Linked DNA regions of Canis lupus familiaris. The protein of the gene in region 2 binds, or shares a complex with, the protein of the main gene of each other region. Links are inferred from orthologs where the notes say so. Each region holds a gene or a part of one and is shown on either strand. Other genes may lie near its edges.

Region 1 (5,810 bases), on a different chromosome or scaffold from region 2:
ATCTCTTTCTGTGCTCTGAATCCAGTCTATCCCAGGACTTGGCATGGCACTGTTGGATGGCATGGACCAGGTGGCTCATATTTTTATTTCACAACATGTAAATGACATTCATGCAGCACAGTCAATAAATATCCTACCCAATTAGTTCTATCTGAACAGGCAAATGTTTGCTTACAAATCCATCTACAACAATTTGGCATGTCACAATGTCTAGGCATCTCTATACATTTTTTAGAGTGAGCAGTTGAGTACCGTCAAGTTGTTAGTTTTATCCTGTGATAACTGACCACTCATCTTTTCATTCAGAAAGCTTCTGCGTAGCTCCATAAAGATAGCACTGTATCACTGCTTGCTTGATGACTTGAAAAATTGCTCTGAGTAGAAAATATCCATAAATTTTAAAAGGCAGTCTTACCAAGAACCACAAATAGTTCTCATTCTGTTTCTAAATAGCAAGATCACATTAAAACTCAAAAATAGATAACATTAATCACTATAATTCAAATAACTACTCTCTAGACCTGGCAGGGAACCTTGAGAGCTTAGTTCTTTTTTCCTATGAATTTCTGGCATAGCGTGCTTGGGGGTTGGGGGAAGTTCGTTAACAGTGATTAAAGTTAGGGAATGCCTTAGGAGAAAATGGCATTTGTTACCTTCCTGTCTTTAATCTGCCCACTCAGAAACCCATATTCAGCCTTGATTATGATTGTGGTGGGAATATCTTGGTGGGACTGTCCTGATTTTATAAAAGGTATAACCAAGGACAGATAATTACTGAAATAGCAATCATCCTTTGCATAACAATTTGCAGCTTATAAACCCTGTCACCTGCATGATCTCATTTATTTCCCATAGAGCAATAAGTTGCTATTATTTTTGTTCCTTGTTACTTGTGAAGAATCTGAGTCACAGAAGATTAAAGTTAGCTTTGAAAGTCACACAGCTAGGAAGTGATAGAGCTGGAAATCAAACCAAAGTCTTCTGACACATTATCCCTATCCCGCATAACGTCGGCTATACCATGCAGCCTCCCAAGCCTACCAAAGATGTTGGATCAAGAATGGAGGTGGGCAGAGAAGCAGTCAATGTGTTTACAAAATATAAAGGACTAACAAAATAGGAAAAAATGGGAAAATGAGACATACTAAAGAGGAAACCCAAATGGCCAATAAACATATGAAAACATGCTCACCCTCACTAGCAATCTGGGAAATGCAAATTAAAACCATGATCACACCCATTAGATCCATGAAAATTAAGTCTGAGAATGCCTAGTATTGTATCAGATAGGAAGCAATGAAAATCCTGATATACTAGAAATGGGGATGTAATTCGATTTGACCTATTTTGTCAGCCATTGGCCATTGCATAACAAAGCTGAAGAAGCCTGTGGTCTATGCCCAGAAATTCTATGCCAAGGTCCACACTTCAGAAAAGCTCTACCATAAGTACACAGGGACAATGATTATAATGATTTTTAAATGTGCAAAACCATATTTGGGGGGATATTATTATTTAGGGATTAAGTGTTATTTGGGGACATTATTTAAAGGTACCTGGATATGTCATAAAAATGTAAAGTGCATGTGAATAATGTAGGGTAGTGATTACCTTTGGAGAGGTCAGTAGGAGGGAGGTGCTACCTGAAGAAACACAACCAGTATGTGTAATGTTCTCATCATTGAGTTGGACACTGGTACACAGTATTTATTATTCTTTCAACCTTGTAATGTGTAAAATAGATTATCATAACTTTAGAAATAGAAGAGGCAAGAAGAGAAGGAAAAAAGTTTGTCTGAATCAGATGCTTCTCTGGGACTCTCAGGTGACCAGACCAGTTGAAAATAATGCCAAAAAAAATATTGTTTTTCAGAGTTTTTATTTTATAATGAATAATTAACATTCAGGGCATTTTTAATATTATAAAGTCAACTTCTAACCAGTGGACTTCTATAACTCGAAAGAGTCTCCATTTGCCCTGGTCTAATGATGAATCATAGTAGCAAAGAAAGGATGCTCATCCCAACTCAGCCCTAACTCCTGCTCCAAAATCCCTGCATTACACCAGCACCCTTTCTGATACACATAACTGAAGTGTGAAGTTCCATCCAACCAATCAGAGTCTATGACATTTCTTAGAATCACACTTAACCTGGATCCCAGAAAATGTTTGTTTGGCTTATTCTGTCTTTACATCTTTAGCACTTTCAAGCAGGTCTCTAGCATTTGGGCAGAGTGAGTGTTAACCAGTCCGTGTTGTTGAGAGTATCTTACTCAAGAATGTTTTATTCATAGAATTATTTATTTTAGATGCATACAGTGGAGTGATCATTTTATATCAGACACCTAAGAAAAGCTAGAAACGTATTTAACTCTGAAAGTTCAACTCTGTTTTTGCATTTTTGATGTTTGCAATTTTATGGGCAAGGATGTCTCAGAATGAGATCCCTAGCCATGTACACTACCCATTTCAGAATTATGCTGATTAATTAATGTCTGTTGAGTTACTTATTTGACAGTCTGTGAAAACATGTCTTTCCCTCATATACTCCCCAGAGTAGTCAGGCACAATCTCAGTTTGCAAGTTCAATTTTCAAATATTATGGTTTTTGAGAATAAAAATATTGATCCATAATATAACCGTTCTCTAAAAATAAAACTGTTATTCATAGATAATTGAAATTTTTAAACAATTGTCTCAAACAAGCATGTTTTCCTGCATCTTAAAAAGAAAATAATGTTTTTCAGAGTTTTTATTTTATAATGAATAATTAACATTTAGGGCATTTTTAATATTATAAAGTCAACTTCTAACCAGTGGACTTCTATAACTCTATGATAATTCATTGGGGAGAGAGGACAAATGCCTTTTTTAAATGATCTACAGAAATATTAATTAATCTACAATCAGAGAATGAGTCTATGGCAGCCTCCTATTTGAAAGCCAGGGTCCCAAATCCCCTCCATCCTATTTTAGCAATAGTAATACTAATAGTGGTCCACAAATATTGGACACTTACCGTGTTTCAGGCACTATGCCAAACACTTTTCCTATATTATTTTATTTCATCCTCACAACAGCTTTACAAATGAGGAACTGTGACTCAAAGCAGGTAAGTCATTTGCCCAAATCACATATCTGTTAAGTAGTAGGTAGAGCCAAGATATGGACTCAGATCCTGATCCCAGAATCTGTGCTCTTGGCCTTTGCTTGTGTATACACAGAAACTTTGTAATTACATCTTGCCGTAGATGGAGAAAATAAGTGGGCAAAATATTTTCCTCTTCCATAAAAAAGAAAAATAGCAGTTGACTCAGTCAAGCTATACAAAAAAAAAAAGTATACCAGGGCTTTCTAAATTTTCACCCAAGACTTATGACCACCACTTCTCAATAGTTTGAAAATTCTATTGACTGAATTGCACTGAAGATGGAAATGAAGATGAAAAAGAAGCATAGAATATATGCTTCCTCAAGGTACAAATTCTTCTAGACTTTCCTTCCTGAGCCTTTCTTTTTGAACACAAAGATGCTTCTGACTTCCAAGAATGAGTACATAGCATTTTTTTCATCATTTGATCGTTGTATTTGTTGGCAGACCTGTTGTAACCTTGAGTCACCTACAGCGAATTTAAATATTATTCTAATTGATTTTCTCACTGCTTACTGAGAAACTGAGTGCCTCTTATACTAGTCTCATAAATAATTCCATTTCTCTATGTCAACTTTAATTGAACTTACCTCATGTTGTCAATCTCTTTCTTTTTTCCTTGCAGGTGATGTCATTGTCTATATTAATGAAGTTTGTGTCCTTGGACACACTCATGCAGATGTAGTCAAACTTTTCCAGTCTGTTCCTATTGGTCAGAGTGTCAACCTGGTGTTGTGTCGTGGCTACCCTTTGCCCTTTGATCCTGAGGATCCTGCTAACAGCATGGTGCCACCCCTTGCAATAATGGAGAGGCCACCTCCGGTGATGGTCAATGGAAGACATAACTATGAAACATATTTGGAATACATTTCTCGGACCTCACAGTCGGTTCCGGATATAACAGATCGACCGCCTCATTCTTTGCACTCAATGCCAGCTGATGGTCAATTAGATGGCACGTATCCACCACCTGTCCATGACGACAATGTGTCTATGGCTTCATCTGGGGCCACCCAAGCTGAACTTATGACCTTAACCATTGTGAAAGGTGCCCAGGGCTTTGGCTTCACTATTGCCGACAGTCCTACAGGACAGCGGGTGAAACAAATACTTGACGTTCAGGGATGCCCTGGCCTGTGTGAAGGTGACCTCATTGTTGAGATCAACCAGCAGAATGTACAGAACCTGAGCCATACAGAAGTAGTGGATATACTTAAGGACTGTCCCATTGGAAGTGAGACTTCTTTGATTATCCATCGAGGAGGTAAGATAAACACTGACTCAGCAATAAAATATACAGGTAAAATAGTAAGACCCTTACAATAATATCATAAAAATAGAAGTTTCCCTGGAGTTGAATGAAATCATACTTTAAAAAATAAAGGTCAATGAATAAGAGAGAAAAATGCAAGAGTCCAGAAAACCGTGGTTTTTTTTTTAATTTTGAAAGTATGTATTTTCCTATCTTTTATTAAACACAAGAAAAGTGGTGCTGTCTTACACATTTATCTTAGTATGAACTTGGAGGGTAACACCTGAATCCCTAAATGTGAGTGGGTTATATTCTAAAAGTTCACTAACGTATACCGGTCGTAGAGATCTCAAACTGGTTTTCCATTGACTTAATTAAGAAATCTGATTCTTCCAATCGAATCAATGCTTTGTGTTGTGCTTGGAACTCCAGGCTAGCAGGTGGGAGCTGGTTCAGCCCTTTTTCTGCGGCAACCAGTTCCTCAAGGTCCTTAGGGGGATTATCAAGATTATATTTGATTATATTTGAACTTGCAAATATAATCTTGATAATCCCCCTAAGGACCTTGAGGAACTGGTTGCCGCAGAAAAATCTTTACGTAGAGTTGTGAATTGGGATGCTGAGGACACTTCTTCCACTACCAGCAATAATTACTCTTGGTGACTTCCATGATTTGAGCAGAAAATTACGGAACAGTTTGGGGCTGAAGTTAAGCGGGGTGTCCTTGGTGAACCATGGACATCGGAGCAGTGAGGAGTGTGTTAGTAATCTGAGCCCTGGGTGTTTCTTCCCTCCTACCTTCTGGGGAAGTGAATGGGGCAAGCGGAAAACCCCTCCTTCATTTCTGTGCTACTCTGCTCTTAACTATCAGTGACACTAGGGAGAGAAAGGAGGGAAGGGCCACGGATAGGATGGATACTTGAAAATAGATATAAAGGAAAAGGCTCAGGCTAAGTCCTGGTTTTCCACTTGCCAGTTCTGGGACTTGGGACACTTGGAGTCCAGGAGCCTCAGAAGCCTCGTCTGCTATATTGGGATGATCCTATTACCTAATCTGGTGGTCCTGTTCTTCATATCGAACAGCCCACAGTAGGTGTTCATTAAATGTGTGTTGAGTGTAAATGAAGCCACAGCAAGGGTGGTTCAGAAGGAGCAGCACTGCAAGGAACGCATGCGTGAAGAACGCACGTGTGGCAAACATATATGATTGTCTATTCAGAGCACTAAACACAGCATGAAAGCCCTGTTGGTTTGAAATGCAAATGAAAGCAGTGAAAGCTTGAAAGAAGTACCTTTTATGATTTCCTTGACCCTCCCTGCAGGTGTTTCCACTTCGAGGAAATATTTACATTATTGATTCCTTGTGTGAAAATGGACATCAAATACTAGGCATTTCTGAGCAACGCT
Region 2 (6,557 bases):
CCCTCAGCTCAGCCTGGAGGGCGATGCTACAGGCAAGGGGAGCCTCTGATGCCAGACCCTCCTTGCTGAGCTGCCTCTGCCCCCCTAGGGCGCGTGGTGGACATCTACTCCAAGTTTGATGTTATCGTGAGTGATTGCGGAGGGCCTGGGAGGGAGGGAAAGGGGCGGGCTGTTGAATGTGGAGAGGGAGAAGAGAGTCTCTTCTAATTGGAAAAGGAATTGAACGAGTTGGGTGTGGCTTGTGGGCATGGCTAACAACTGCCCTAAATCCCTCTGGTGCAACTGGGTGGGCTCAGGGTTTGGGGGCTGGCTCCTTTGCTTCCCTGCAAGCACCTTCCTCTCTCTCCCCAGAATCTGGCAGCAGAAAAGACCTACAACAACCTAGATGTGTCTGTGACCAAAGCCCTGCAACATAGATCACATTACTTTGAGGGTGTCCTTAAGTGCTACCTGCATGAGACTCTGGAGACCATCATCAACAGGCTGGTGGAAGCAGAGGTAGGGAGGCCAGTGACCCAGAAGGAGCTAGGGAGAGCAGCTTTGAGTGTGGGATTTGGCACGGAGGGTGGGGGTTGAAGGACTCCTCCTAACTGAGGGCGTCACTAAACATCCCTTTTCTCCCTTGTTGCTCCACACAGGTTCACCGACTTGTAGTGGTAGATGAGAATGATGTGGTCAAGGGGATTGTATCACTGTCTGACATCCTGCAGGCCCTGGTGCTCACAGGAGGAGAGAAGCTCTGAGCTGGGGAAGGGGTCAGGCAGCACAAGGGGATATGCCCCCACTCATTGCCTGACCAAAGTTCTAGGAATCACAGATGAACCCTTGAGAAAATTGTGACTCTGTTCCCCGCTTGGGAGCTGGGGAGGGTGTGGGGGGAGGAAGGAGAATGGATTTTTAGCAGTCCTTATCCTCACACATACAGCCTAGCCCAGCCTAGCCCCTGCCATCTTAGACGTAGCCCCCTTTCTGGGTGAATGATGGGCCGTGTGCCCCTCAGGCAAATTCTGATCTCTAAGAGATCCCCAGACCTCACCCAGCCTTTGCCTCTATCTCTGCCCCTGACTCCACCCTAAGATAACAGCACAACAAAACTCTTCCTAAAGATATTTTTATTCATCCTGTTTCATGCTGTACGGAGGAGGCTGAGTCCATTTAGTGACATTTCTTCCCATAATGGGAGTGGGGAGGATTGTGGGGAGGAGGGCCTTTGGATTCTTGTGCTGTGTGCATATGAAGGCAGATGGGGGTTAGGTGGAGGAGGAGGGCAGAGTGATTAGCTGAGGTTATTGCTTTTCATGGCAAACCTAATTAAAATGACAGGAACCTCTTCATGGTATTGCAGTGTTTGATTCTTGTAGTTGACAGACACTATTGCTCCAACCGTCCTACTTCCTATGGCTTCTTCAACTCACTACTAACAACAACAGGAATAGTGGCACATACATTTACCCACACATATATGTAAAACTGTGTCAGGCACCATTCCCGGTGCTTTATGCATATTAATTAGTTCTCAGAACCATAGTAGATATGATTCCAGTTTTACAGATTAAAAAACAAAACAAAACTAAGGGACAGAGAGGCTAAGTAACCAGCCCAACATCACACAGCTAGTAAAATGTAGAGCTAGGATTTGTGCCCAGAGTCTGGCCCCAGACTCCTGCTCTTTACCACTAACACTAGACTTACTGCCTTTCCATTTCTCCATTCATGACTGTTTCCTACCCTGTTCCCTGCTGTTCTCTTTATTACTCACTTTCCCCTCTGCCTGAACCGTAGCTGGGACCCCAGGAGAATCTCCTAACAGCATTAGGTCTCCAGAGAATAGAGAGACTGAGGGTCTCCTTTAGGCAGAGAGACATGCTACGGCCATCAGCTTTTCTTCATCAGGGAAGGTTTGACTCTGAATTTTGCTGAGCCGGCACTGTCTTTGAACCTACAAAATGGCTCACCATTCTTCCAAGGTGAGAATGAGCTGGGGGCTGAGGAAACAGACTCTACCTGTGCTGAAACCAAATAAGCCAAAACAGGTCAACACCAAACACCATAAGGACCGCTAGACTGTCGGGCCTGAGCCAAATTTTGGGTACCATTTCACCACTGACTTGCAGGTTTAATATCATTTCCTGTCCAAGACCAGAAGCAATGTCAGAGTACCTCCTTGCCCCTCCCCACACTATACCAAGTACTCTGGTGAACCCTGCCCTACCATACCGGTTCCTCCAAAGTAGGCTTCCTCATGGCGCATGGAGAAACATTTCAAGGCAGCTGTCAGGGCTGCCATCCTGACTTTGGAGAAAGCCCTTGCTTCTGCATTCACCTCTCCACAGCTCACAGCACGTTCTCAGACTTGGGGGAGGGAGGCTTCCAAGTTAATAGAATTAGGGTATGTTTATGTGTGTGGGGGTGAATGCATGGTGGAAAGGACAGATGTCTCCTTATGTCACATTCCATCATGGAGAATTTGTCTAGGGAGGAGGCAAGGGCTTTAAAAAGCCCTAGGACTCTGGTGGGACCTGGGTAGAAGGAAGCACCTTCAAGCAAAGAGCCACCAGAGTGCAGCTGGTAGGTGTGTAAAGCGGGGGAGGGGGGTTATCAAATGGATGGAGTAGGGGCTGTTTGGGTTATCTCTAAATCTCTAAAGGTCCATATTAGGGAGCAGGGGGCCTGGGTTTGGTTGCTCTGGTTCTCATTAAGTCAGTCTCTTACTAACAACAACCCTTCTGGCCCCACCTTCTTAAAAGGAAGGGCCTGTACCCAAAGGGCTGCATGATCTTTTGCCTCTCCCATTCTCCCCTAAAACCTAATCAGTCAGTCTCAGAATCTGAGAATGGAGCAGAAGGAAAGACAAGGAACAAAATTAAGGAGCCTCATAGCCTATTCTTACCTATTCCTCTCAGAAGAGGCAAATTATCCCTTTTCTTCAGGAACCATTGCCATACACACTCTTCTCCCACCTCTCTGCACCCCTCCCCTCCACTGGAGCTGCTGCCATGGTTGCCAGGCATGGTTGCTAAGTCTCTGCATGGAAGGGTTGGCGTGGGCTGTGCTGCCACTAACATTACCATGGTGAATCAGGGGACACCTGGTATAGGCTTGGGGGGGAGGGATCACGTGGATGTAAGCAACACCCCCTGCCCCTGGGACAGAATGAGCGTAAAAGGTGAGCATCTTGAGCACCACTTCAGGTTGGGGGGGCTAAGTGAGCTAGGCATTGTTGTAGTGGTGGTGATGGGGAGCTCCACACTGGGAAATCGGGGCCACTTTTAGCATTTCAGTTGCTAGGGGACTGGTTTTGCCAAGGGAACACACCATTCCTCCTCCATCCCTTCTGAAAGGGTGCAAATGCATAAGTACCTTAGTCTGTCCTCCATAAGGCTGAGCAGAGCTGTGTGGGCACAGAACAGTATGACCCCCAAATCCTGGCTTTTGGATTGCGGGAGAGAGCCTGCTGCGAGGAGAGGGCTCCATGGGTGCCCAAGGACAAACAGCTAGCATAGGAACGTGGGACAGTTTGGATGGCCAAGACAGACTCCTGTGTCCGACCAGCAGCGCTGGGCTGCAACACTGAGAGGGTAAGGAGTTAAGGGTGTGGGGGTCACCCTTTCTGAGCTTGGGGGAGGCAGCTCTCCCCCAGAGCCACATAAAAGCTGTGTGAAAGCCACCGCCTCCTCCCTCCACCGCATGGAAGCTGGTTACTCATCTCTCTGCACCCGAACAGCCACTGCCGCTAAAAATAGACCCCCTGCACCCCAACCCCATGGAAACCAGCAGAGAGTGGCAGGCAGAGACCTTGAGTTCCATTCCCCTCACCTCCCTGTCGGGGAAACTGAAGTCCGAGGCAGGAAGTCGGTGGCAGAACCCTGGTGGTGGGGCACCCCGACCAGCAGAAGAGCTAAGGGTTAAAACGGCAGGAAGGTTGGAGCAACGGGGGTGGGGGAAGGGCACCGTCAGCTTGGCAAGAATAAGAGGTCCCCTGCCCACTGGCGCAGGTCCCAACAGGCTTGGGGGCCATGAGCGGTGGGAAGGGGCGCCCAATCCCGGGCCCCAGGGGGCGGCCGTGCACATGGGGGAGGTAGCAGCGCGGTGCCGTCCGCGCCGCACCGTGTCACATGCGCGCGCACACACACACAGACAGGCACACACGTGTGCCGGGGTATATATAGTCCCCAGTCTCTGGGCCCGTCGCTCTGCAGTGGGCGCCGGCTCCTCGGGCTGGGAGGGGGCTCTCGGGGCGGGTGGGAGGGTGGGGGGCCGGGGTGGGGTGGGGCAGGATGCTGGATGGCCAGCTATTCTCCGAGGGGCCCGACAGCCCCCGGGAGCCCCAGGATGAGGAGTCTGGCAGCTGCCTCTGGGTGCAGAAATCCAAGCTGCTGGTGATCGAAGTGAAGACTATTTCCTGTCATTATAGTCGCCGCGCCCCTCCTCGACAGCCCATGGACTTCCAAGCCAGCCACTGGGCCCGCGGGCCCCAGAGCCGCACGTGAGTGAAGGAGGGGTGACGGGAAGAGAGTGGTGGGGCGGGGAGTGGGGTCCGGACCTCCCCGCAGGCACCAGCCAGTGCTGCTGGACCCCGTTCTCTTTCCCACGCCTCCCCCTACCCCATCCCGAGGGCTGGGGCCTGACTCTTCCCCGCATTGTTTGGGGGGGCAGGAGTGGGTGTGAGAAAGGGCAGGAGGTGAGATGGGGCAGACGCTGTTAAAGTGTGCATGGAGAGATGGCGCGGAGTCCGGCTTCGACTTCAGCCCTAACATATACGCACGTGCACACACGCACACACTCACACACACCCCTCCACATGGCTGCCCCAAATGGCCTCCAGTGCTCCCAGCTCCCCGGACCTCGGCTCCCTTCCCCCACAAACTGCTCACCTGGGTTCCTGCTCATTGTCCCAGGTGTGGGCCGCGCCCGGGATCCCCTGAGCCGCCGCCCCGCCGTCCCTGGGCCTCCAGGGTGCTGCAGGAGGCGACCAACTGGCGGGCGGGGCCCCCGGCCGAGGCCCGAGCCCGGGAGCAAGAGAAAAGGAAAGCAGCGTCGCAGGAGCGGGAGGCCAAGGAGACCGAGCGAAAAAGGCGCAAGGCTGGTGGGGCCCGAAGGAGCCCCCCCGGTCGGCCCCGCCCGGAACCTCGGAGCGGCCCTCGGGTGGCCCAGCCAGTAGGGCCCCCAGCTCCTTCTCGACCCGAGCGCCTGGGGCCGGCGGGGCGACCGCCCCGTCCATCCGCGCAGCCGCAGAGCGACCCAGGGGCGGCGTGGGCGGGGCCCTGGGGAGGTAGGCGGCCAGGGCCCCCCAGCTACGAGGCTCACCTGCTGCTGAGAGGCGCAGCCGGGACAGCCCTGCGACGACGCTGGGACCGCCCGCCACCCTACGTGGCTCCACCTTCTTACGAAGGCCCCCACAGGACCTTGGGGTCCAAGCGAGGCCCCGAGCCCCCCCAGGCGCCGGCCCCCGCCGCCTCTGCTCCGACTCCGGCCAGGACAGAGGGAGGGTGCGCCAAGAAGAGGCTGGACCCTCGGATCTACCGGGACGTCCTCGGGGCTTGGGGGCTCCGGCAGGGGCGGGGTCTCCTGGGGGGATCCCCGGGCTGTGGAACGGCCGCGCCGAGGCCGGAGGCCGGCAAGGGCGCCGCCGAGAGAAGCCTGGGGCCGGCGGCCGCTGGCCTGAGTGCTGGGAGCGACGGCCGTCCCCAAGCCAGAGCTGCCGGGAGCCCGAGCGCCCAGACGGCTCCCGCGGGGTCGGCCCCCGCCGCGCGCAGCCCCCCGCGGCCCGCCCCCAGGGCCAGGCCCCGGCTCAAGGGCTCCGAGGAAGGGAAAGAAAACAGGGAACAGAGCTGGCTCCCCAAATGCTGGGTTCCCTCCCGTAAAAGGCAGCCGCCCCGACAGAGCCAGACCCTCCCCAGACCCTGGGCTCCAGGAGGCACGGGCTGGAGCGAATCCCCGGGTCTCAGAGCGGGGGCAGGACCCTCAGAGGGTGGGAAGGGGACCCGCCGCGCCCACACCCTGCCCCGCAGCGCCCGCGGCCCTGCGCGCGGAGAAGGCGTCTTTGTCATTGACGCCACGTGCGTGGTGATCCGGTCGCAGTATGTTCCGACCCCTCGAACCCAGCACGTACAGCTCTTGCCCGCCGGGGTGCCGCGCGCCGCGGGGGATGCCCCCAGTCCTCCGGGGCCCAGCCAGGAGGAGGGCGAGGGAGCCGCGGCCCTGCCCTCGCCTTGCCAAAAACTGCTCCCGAGCAGTCGCCCGTCACACCAGCTCGGTGGGGGGCGCGGGTTCGAAGCCGAGGGCGGGAAGCCGGCGGACTCCTCCTTGGAGGAGCGCGCCTCCCGCATCTTGGGGCTCCCGGTGGGCGAAGTAAACCTCCGGGACGCCCCCGCGCAGCCCGGTAGCCCGGAGCGCTCGGCCCTGGGCCCGGCGGCTTCGGGAGGCGCGGCCCCCGCCGAGGGCCCGGAGGGAGTGGCGGCGGCCCCCCGGCGCGCGGGCCGGGGCTGGGCGCGGACCCCGGGGCCGTACGCGGGGGCCCTGCGGGAAGCCGTGTCCCGCATCCGCCGCCACACCGC
Region 3 (6,409 bases), on a different chromosome or scaffold from region 2:
TCATGGTCACACGGGGAGAAAATAGGGTACGTTTGCCCCCAAACAGACTGATCCAGAGCAGAATACTTAGGAAGCAAGCATCAACAGAGACAAGCCTTCATCGGCATCCATAATATTCCAGGTCCAGACCATGGGTAGGTCCACGAATGGAAGCATAATTTAAAAAAAAAAAATGTATACGTTAAGTGCTGGAGTCAAACAGACCTGAGCCTACTTATTAGTTCTATATCCCTGGCCAATAATATAGCATCTTAGAACATCAGTTTTCTCATCAGTAAAATGGGTATAAGTGTGCCGTACTCCGGAGGGTTGCTGTGAGATTATATGAGACCATGTGTGTGAAGCACTCAGCACCATGTTGGCTTCGCTTTTGAGCTATTGCTCTAATAAATAATAGGTTTTTATATTGTGAAAGCTTGGGCAAAGGAGAGGAGGTGAAGAGGACTGCGGGGACCTCGCTTAAAAGGATGGGGAACTTCTACTTTGGGTGTTACAGGCCAGTCTGAGGCCCATGATTCTGGATTTCAGTGCATGGCATCTATGGAATGAAGTAGGGGGTAGGAAGGGCCAAACACTGAGCCCTAGGTCTGGCCTCAGGGAAGTAACTGACTTGGCAGACAGCATTTGGAGGTAAGGAACTGCCATGGTGGGTCTTATCTATTAAGAGAAGATGAGACTGCAAACGTGGGATTCCTTCCCCTGCTCAGCACACTCTGTCTGGCCCATACAGCACGGGATGCTGGCTCGTCTGGGAGACGGTGGGGGCTCGGACAAGGGGATACACTGCACTGGGCTTCATTCCATTCCTCCAAGCCAGCTTCCTGCCACATATCCAGGGCAAAAACGGTTAAACACTAACATTCAGGAAACAGACGAGCCCGTAGATCCTTAACTCTGGGGTCTCATCTTTTTATACTTAATTACATATCTTTAATTTCTCAAGAAATACTGATTTTAAAATTTCTTCTAATAGTTTTCAAAATGGAATTTTGCTTTGCTTTCTTCTTCCCTCAAATCCATAACGTACCTACCTCCAAGTATCATAGGACGGAAGCACACATGACGCTGCTAGCCTCCCGCCTGGGACGGGCTAAGGACTCCATTCAGTTCACAAGACCCTGTTACTGTTACTTTACAAAAGGCTTCCCCGGGCACCCCTTGGATGCCGCCCCGGGGGGAGGGGATTCATAGCATATACTCCAAGTTTTAGGGACCCAGAGGACAGCCAGCTACATTAGCAACTACGAGGGTAGAGGAGACAGTGAAACCACACCGGGAGAAGAATGGAAGGAGAGGGAGACAGATGGTGCGTGTGTTGGGGGAAGGGATCAGAGATCCAGGAAAACTTCTGTTCCCTGAATCGCAAGAATGTTTCCATTTAACCACTTCTTGTCTGGCTCCTGATTCTACATAAAAGAGAAGCGGGGAGTTTTAGGGTTTGGGGCCACCTGCACCAAGAGCCTAGGCGCGAGGTGGAGAGCCGGGAGCGCGGGGAAGCAGCGGCGAGCGGGTCTTGCTCGGGCCACCCGGGCCCCCGCGCGCGTCCGGGGCCCAGGTAAGGGGCGGTGCCCCCTCCCGGCTACCGGGGCTGCGGGCGGTCCGGACAGTCCCACGAGGGGGCGCGTCTCGGGTCCTAGGATCCGCCCTCGCAGCGCCGGGCGCGGGGAGGGGACCCGGGAGCCCAGGCGCCCGGCGCTCCGCCTCCCGTTTCCGGGGCAGCGCGGTTACCTGCACGGCCCGAGCCGCACCTGGCGGAGGCCGGAGTCGCCGAGCGGGCGCAGAGCGGCGCGGCGCAGAGCGGCGGAGAGGGCTCGGGCGCCCGGCCAGGGGGCGGCGGCGGCGGCGGGGAGCAGGCGGCGGGGAGCAGGCGGGGAGCAGGCGGCGGGGAGCAGGCGGCGGGGAGCAGGCGGCGGCGCTCGGCTCGCTCTGCCCCGCCGGCCGGGCGCGTCCCCGGGCCCGCACCGCGCCGCGGCGGGCGCACATGGCAGCGTGAGAGGCCGGCGGCGGGAGCGCGGGAGCCCGGGAGCGGCGGGCCGGAGCCGCAGGGCCGCATGGACCGCGGCGCCGCCCGGGCCGGCCCCCACTAGGGCCCCCAGTCCGCGGGCGCCAGCCTCCCCCCCCATCATGGTGCCTCGGCGGCCGCCCGGGCTGGGCACGGCCGGCCGGAGCCGCTGAGCCGGGGCCCCCGCGGCGGCCGGGAGCTGCATGGGGGAGCGCGGGCCGCGCTCGGGAAGATGCCCCGGCCGGAGCTGCCCCTGCCGGAGGGCTGGGAGGAGGCGCGCGACTTCGACGGCAAGGTCTACTACATAGACCACACGAGCCGCACCACCAGCTGGATCGACCCGCGGGACAGGTAGGGCCCCGGGGAGCCCCACACCGCGCGCTCCGCCCGGGCCCCCTCTTGCCCCAGGGGCCACCCGCGGGGACCGGGCAGGGGCCGCCGGGGAACTCTGCGAGCCGCTTGCGCTTTCTTCAGTTGGCCGCCCCCCCGCCGCCCTCGCCCCCCCCCCCCGCCCCCGTCCCCATCCACGTCCCCATCCCCATCGCCCGCCGTCTGGAGCGCTGCTCCCGCCGGGGTGGGCTGCTGGAGGGGGGCGCGGCCAGGGGCCCGGGCGGCCCCCGCCGCCGTCCCCGATGGAGGACTTAGGCCCCAGCCGGCACCTGCCCAGAGTTTTGACCTTAAGCTCTAGCCCCGCCTCCCCCGCCCCCTTTAGGACGAGGTCGGGCGGGGGCTGGGGCAGCAGCCTAGCGGAGCGTTTCTGGGGCTTCCCGGAGAGGCTTTCCCCAGTGTGTGTGTGTGTGGGGCCGGGGGGAGATGGGGAAGCATCTGGTTTGGAGGGGGTAGTAGGGACCCAGGATTCAGTGGGAAACTGCTGGAAGGACACTAGGCGGAGGGGAAGGCAGCCTGGAGTGTGGTCTTTGACAGGTGCCTGGGAGGCTCGGGGAAGAGCACGGGAGCAGCCAGGGGGCCTGGAGGCCGGGAGTGGGAAGGAAAGGAAGAGGGCGGGGGAGGGCTGATCGGAAGACTGGTTCTCCAGGAATCTTAGAGCAACTTGGAAGCTGTTAGGATATAGATGGAGGTGAGAGGCCTCCCACAAAGCCCTGCCCATCACCTCGTTCTCCACCCTTTCTTCCTCTGGGGACCGAGACTCCTCAGTCCTGCACCAGCGCGTCCTGACCTTGGTGGGCACCAAGCGACTGTAGCACGGATTCTATTTTATTTTTTCTGTGGCAGGTGGAGTCTGAGGTGACTGCTCAGAGCTTCCAGACTTTCTCCCGGTTTTGATTGCTTGTCATTTCTTTGCACACACCCTCCCCATGTAGGGGTGGGGGGAAGAAGGGGAGGAAGAGGACCACCCTCTGAGATTGCTTTGTTGTCCTTGTTGGCTTGGTCTGTGGTCAGTGTCTTAGGAATGTGGAATGTTCACCTGGTCTGTGCGACCTTGAGTGTCAGGTGCCTGTAACGCAATAGAGGTGAATTTTTTGGATCTTTCGACCTGTAGGGTTGGGATGCAGGTCCCAGAAGTCCAAGATGGGGTGTGTAGCAAGGTGTGGGTTTTAAAAAAAGGCAGAAAGAAAATTTGAATTGAGATGCCCCGTAATTTCTGTGAGCGCTCTAAGTTCACTCATTTAACATTTCTTGGGTGCTTGCTTTATTCTCAGTACCACGCTGGATGCCTCTTTGATATAATTTAGAAGAGAAATTTAAAAAGGAAAAGTTCTCTGCCCATTGTGGGGCTTGAACTCAACCACTCTGAGATCAAGATTCGGGTGCTCTACCAACTGAGTCAGTCTGGTGGCATTGGAAGATAAATTTTTAATGCTAGAGAAAGCATCCCATGAGCAAGCTGCTTTAACCTCTGAGCCTCAGGTTCCCCGTTGGTCAGATTAATGGTTTGTTTGGAAGAGAAGTAATCGTAGAACTCTGAAAGTTGGAAGGGACATAGATGATCAGAGCCCAGCTCTTATTTTCAAACATAAGAGAAAATTTGAGGTCCAGAGGTGTGACTTACTTGAATATCTTCATCTTTCCACCACTCACCATATGCCAGATTCTTTACCATCTCTGAAGTTCTAACCTCCAGATTTGTCCTGACTCACTTCTCTTCCCTGCCCCACTCAGGGTCATCTGTCCCAGGGACGCTGTTACGTGTTGGAGAACTGGGCAGCCCCTTGTTCTCTTCCAGAAGAGACATAAGTTCAGTCTTCTGTTTCCTGCCTGGTTTTGGTCCTTGCAACTTACTGAGGCCAGTGTGCTGTCAGCAGTTGCATGTCAGAGGACTAGGACAGCCCCACACCCAGCGTTGCTAACTCACCCTCGGTTGTGAATCTAGGGACTTCTCTGGGGCTCTGAGAGGAATACAGCTCTAGAAAGCTTCTCAAACAACAGGTAATTTTCTACCCCTGGAAAAGGACAAGTGGAAAATTGACTTGGCTAGAGTATTATTTTTCAAATTTTAGTACCATATGAACCACCATAATGATTTTCTGCTATATTGACTTGTACCATTGCTTACTTAATATTTGACTTTAAATCAACTAAACGTGAAAATTTTTTTAAAGATTTTATTTATTTGAGAAAGAGAAAGGGAGAGAATGAGTGGGGAGAGGGGCAGAGGGAGAGAGAGAAGCAGGCTCCCCTTTGAGCAGGGAGCACACCATGCGGCTCAATCCCCGGACCCTGGGATCATAACCTGAGCCAAAGGCAGATGCTTAACTGACTGAACCACCCAGGTGCCCCTCAGTATGAAAAATTTTTAACCACTTTCACAAATGGGAAACTAGTATTATCTGTTGTCATAAATAGAAAGGATCTTCAAAAAAAAAAAAAAAAAAACAGTGGAGGGAAAAAAAACCAACAACCCAGTGCCATTATATTTTAGCTCTGTACGGTAGCTTGCCCATACCCAGCAACAGGTATGCCCAGCCTTTGTTTTTTAGGCAGATTGACAAGTATTGGAGAGGAATTAAGAACATAGTGGCATTTAACTGAGCCTCTCACTTTCTTCACCTTGCAAATAATTGGTTTTAATGCATCTTTGTACCTTCTGGTCATCCCTCCCATACTGGATTGGTGGGGGACCCCGGAGTTTGGGATGCTGAGGTGTTCCAAGTGCAACCCTGGGGTCACTGTTATGGTAGGCCAACTGAAAATTTGGGGAGAAAGCTAAGCAGAGGGCATCCACCCATGGCTCTCTGGAATTTCTCTCCTGAAAGTTGGAAGGGACATAGATGATCAGAGCCCAGCTCTTATTTTCAAACATAAGAGAAAATTTGAGGTCCAGAGGTGTGACTTATTTGAATATCTTCATGGATATGAAGATGGTCTTGGATAAATTGCTTGACCTCTCTACAAATGAGTTCTCCATTGGTGAGAAGATGTTCGCAGAACCCTGCCAGGTCTCAGATGTGATTTCAGACCCCTTGGCCTTGTCTTACCCCTCCTGACTCCATGGCAGAAGGAGAGAGGGGACTGTAGCAAGGAAGAAGAAAAAAAATTAAAGCGAAAAAGAGCCAGACAACTTTGGGGTGGTGGTGTGGGGGAGATAAATTCTGCCAAGGTAGTTACATCTCTGCAACCCATTTCATTAATGCTGTGAAACAAAAGATGACATTAAAAAAAAAAAAAAAAAAGAATTTCTACTCTTTAAGGGTGTGCGTGTGTGTTTACATTTGTCTTGGCTTTTTTCTTACCTGAATCAAGGCGATGCCCACCCATTCCCTTGAATTTAAAAGAAGTAAGTCAAACGGTCCCTCAGTCAGAAAAGTGATTTCTTAGCCACGAAGAACAAAATAGCGTCTCGGGTTACCAACCCTGAAGAATGTCTTGGCACATTCCTCCCTCTGGGGCTGAGCTGTTTTGTGTGCTGTCCGGCATGGAGGCTGCTGGGTGTAGGGAATCCAGTTTTCCGCTTCCCCTTTCACCAGCGGGTTGGAAGAGCAGCCAGGCAGCCAGCCTTGCCAACTCTCTTCCCTTCTCACCCAGGGCAAGACTGGGAGGCCGAAATTCCTGAGAACGGTTGTCCCAACAACCAGAGAGGGTCCAGTGGGCAGCTTGGGCCCTGCCTACTGGGCCAAAGGCTCCAACAACACCGCAGCCTCCTGAGGCATGGCTGGCCTGGGAAGGGGCCGGGTCTGTGGGGACTCAGGTGCTCTGGCCTCTGCAGCCCCTAGGAGCAGTGTTTCTTTAGCAGAGTAAGTCTGGGTGCTTCTGGGAACTCCCAGCAAAGGGTCAGCATTCCTTGTGTATTTAACTTAGTGGTATGCAAAAACAAATATGCTGATTGTTCTCCAAGGAAGAATGGATTGTTTGAATTGGCCCTGCCAGAGAAGGTTCCTGAAGCCTAATTCCTGCTCATTCTGTGGTGTATGTTCAGACCTTCTTCCAGGAACCACCTGGGAATTCTGT

What was found.
Region 1: the proteins of DDN (region 2) and MAGI2 are in contact, whole or in part, in a crystal structure (PDB 6KKG), measured with the Mus musculus proteins. The link is inferred for Canis lupus familiaris from reciprocal best matches to the Homo sapiens genes DDN and MAGI2. Residues at the interface, in NP_001013763.1 of Mus musculus: Asp222, Arg223, Pro224, Pro225, Pro226, Tyr227, Val228, Ala229, Pro230, Pro231, Ser232, Tyr233, His237, Arg238, Thr239, Leu240, Gly241; in NP_001164217.1 of Mus musculus: Glu308, Met309, Ala310, Tyr311, Thr312, Glu313, Gly315, Tyr318, Ile320, Asp321, His322, Lys325, Thr326, Thr327, Ser328, Trp329, Asp358, Tyr361, Tyr364, Val366, Asp367, His368, Arg371, Arg372, Thr373, Gln374, Phe375.
Region 3: the proteins of DDN (region 2) and WWC1 are in contact, whole or in part, in a crystal structure (PDB 6J69), measured with the Mus musculus proteins. The link is inferred for Canis lupus familiaris from reciprocal best matches to the Homo sapiens genes DDN and WWC1. Residues at the interface, in NP_001013763.1 of Mus musculus: Tyr227, Val228, Ala229, Pro230, Pro231, Ser232, Tyr233, His237, Arg238, Thr239; in NP_740749.1 of Mus musculus: Glu13, Glu14, Ala15, Arg16, Asp17, Tyr23, Ile25, Asp26, His27, Arg30, Thr31, Thr32, Ser33, Trp34.

The regions. Positions count from the first base shown.
Region 1 is NC_049239.1:18,485,461-18,491,270, reverse strand, and holds part of MAGI2 (membrane-associated guanylate kinase, WW and PDZ domain-containing protein 2), read left to right. Parts: intron 1-3,776; coding exon 3,777-4,415; intron 4,416-5,810. UniProt on the Homo sapiens protein: Seems to act as a scaffold molecule at synaptic junctions by assembling neurotransmitter receptors and cell adhesion proteins. Plays a role in nerve growth factor (NGF)-induced recruitment of RAPGEF2 to late endosomes and neurite outgrowth.
Region 2 is NC_049248.1:41,074,059-41,080,615, reverse strand, and holds the start of DDN (dendrin), read left to right. Parts: upstream 1-2,523; 5' UTR 2,524-2,568; intron 2,569-2,574; exon of another isoform or gene 2,575-3,380; 5' UTR 3,381-3,578; intron 3,579-4,261; exon of another isoform or gene 4,262-4,277; coding exon of another isoform or gene 4,278-4,486; 5' UTR 4,487-4,686; coding exon 4,687-6,557. Other genes in the region: PRKAG1 (5'-AMP-activated protein kinase subunit gamma-1), read left to right, coding at 89-126, 352-498, 639-743. UniProt on the Homo sapiens protein: Promotes apoptosis of kidney glomerular podocytes. Podocytes are highly specialized cells essential to the ultrafiltration of blood, resulting in the extraction of urine and the retention of protein.
Region 3 is NC_049225.1:44,319,396-44,325,804, reverse strand, and holds the start of WWC1 (protein KIBRA), read left to right. Parts: upstream 1-2,172; 5' UTR 2,173-2,234; coding exon 2,235-2,353; intron 2,354-6,409. UniProt on the Homo sapiens protein: Regulator of the Hippo signaling pathway, also known as the Salvador-Warts-Hippo (SWH) pathway.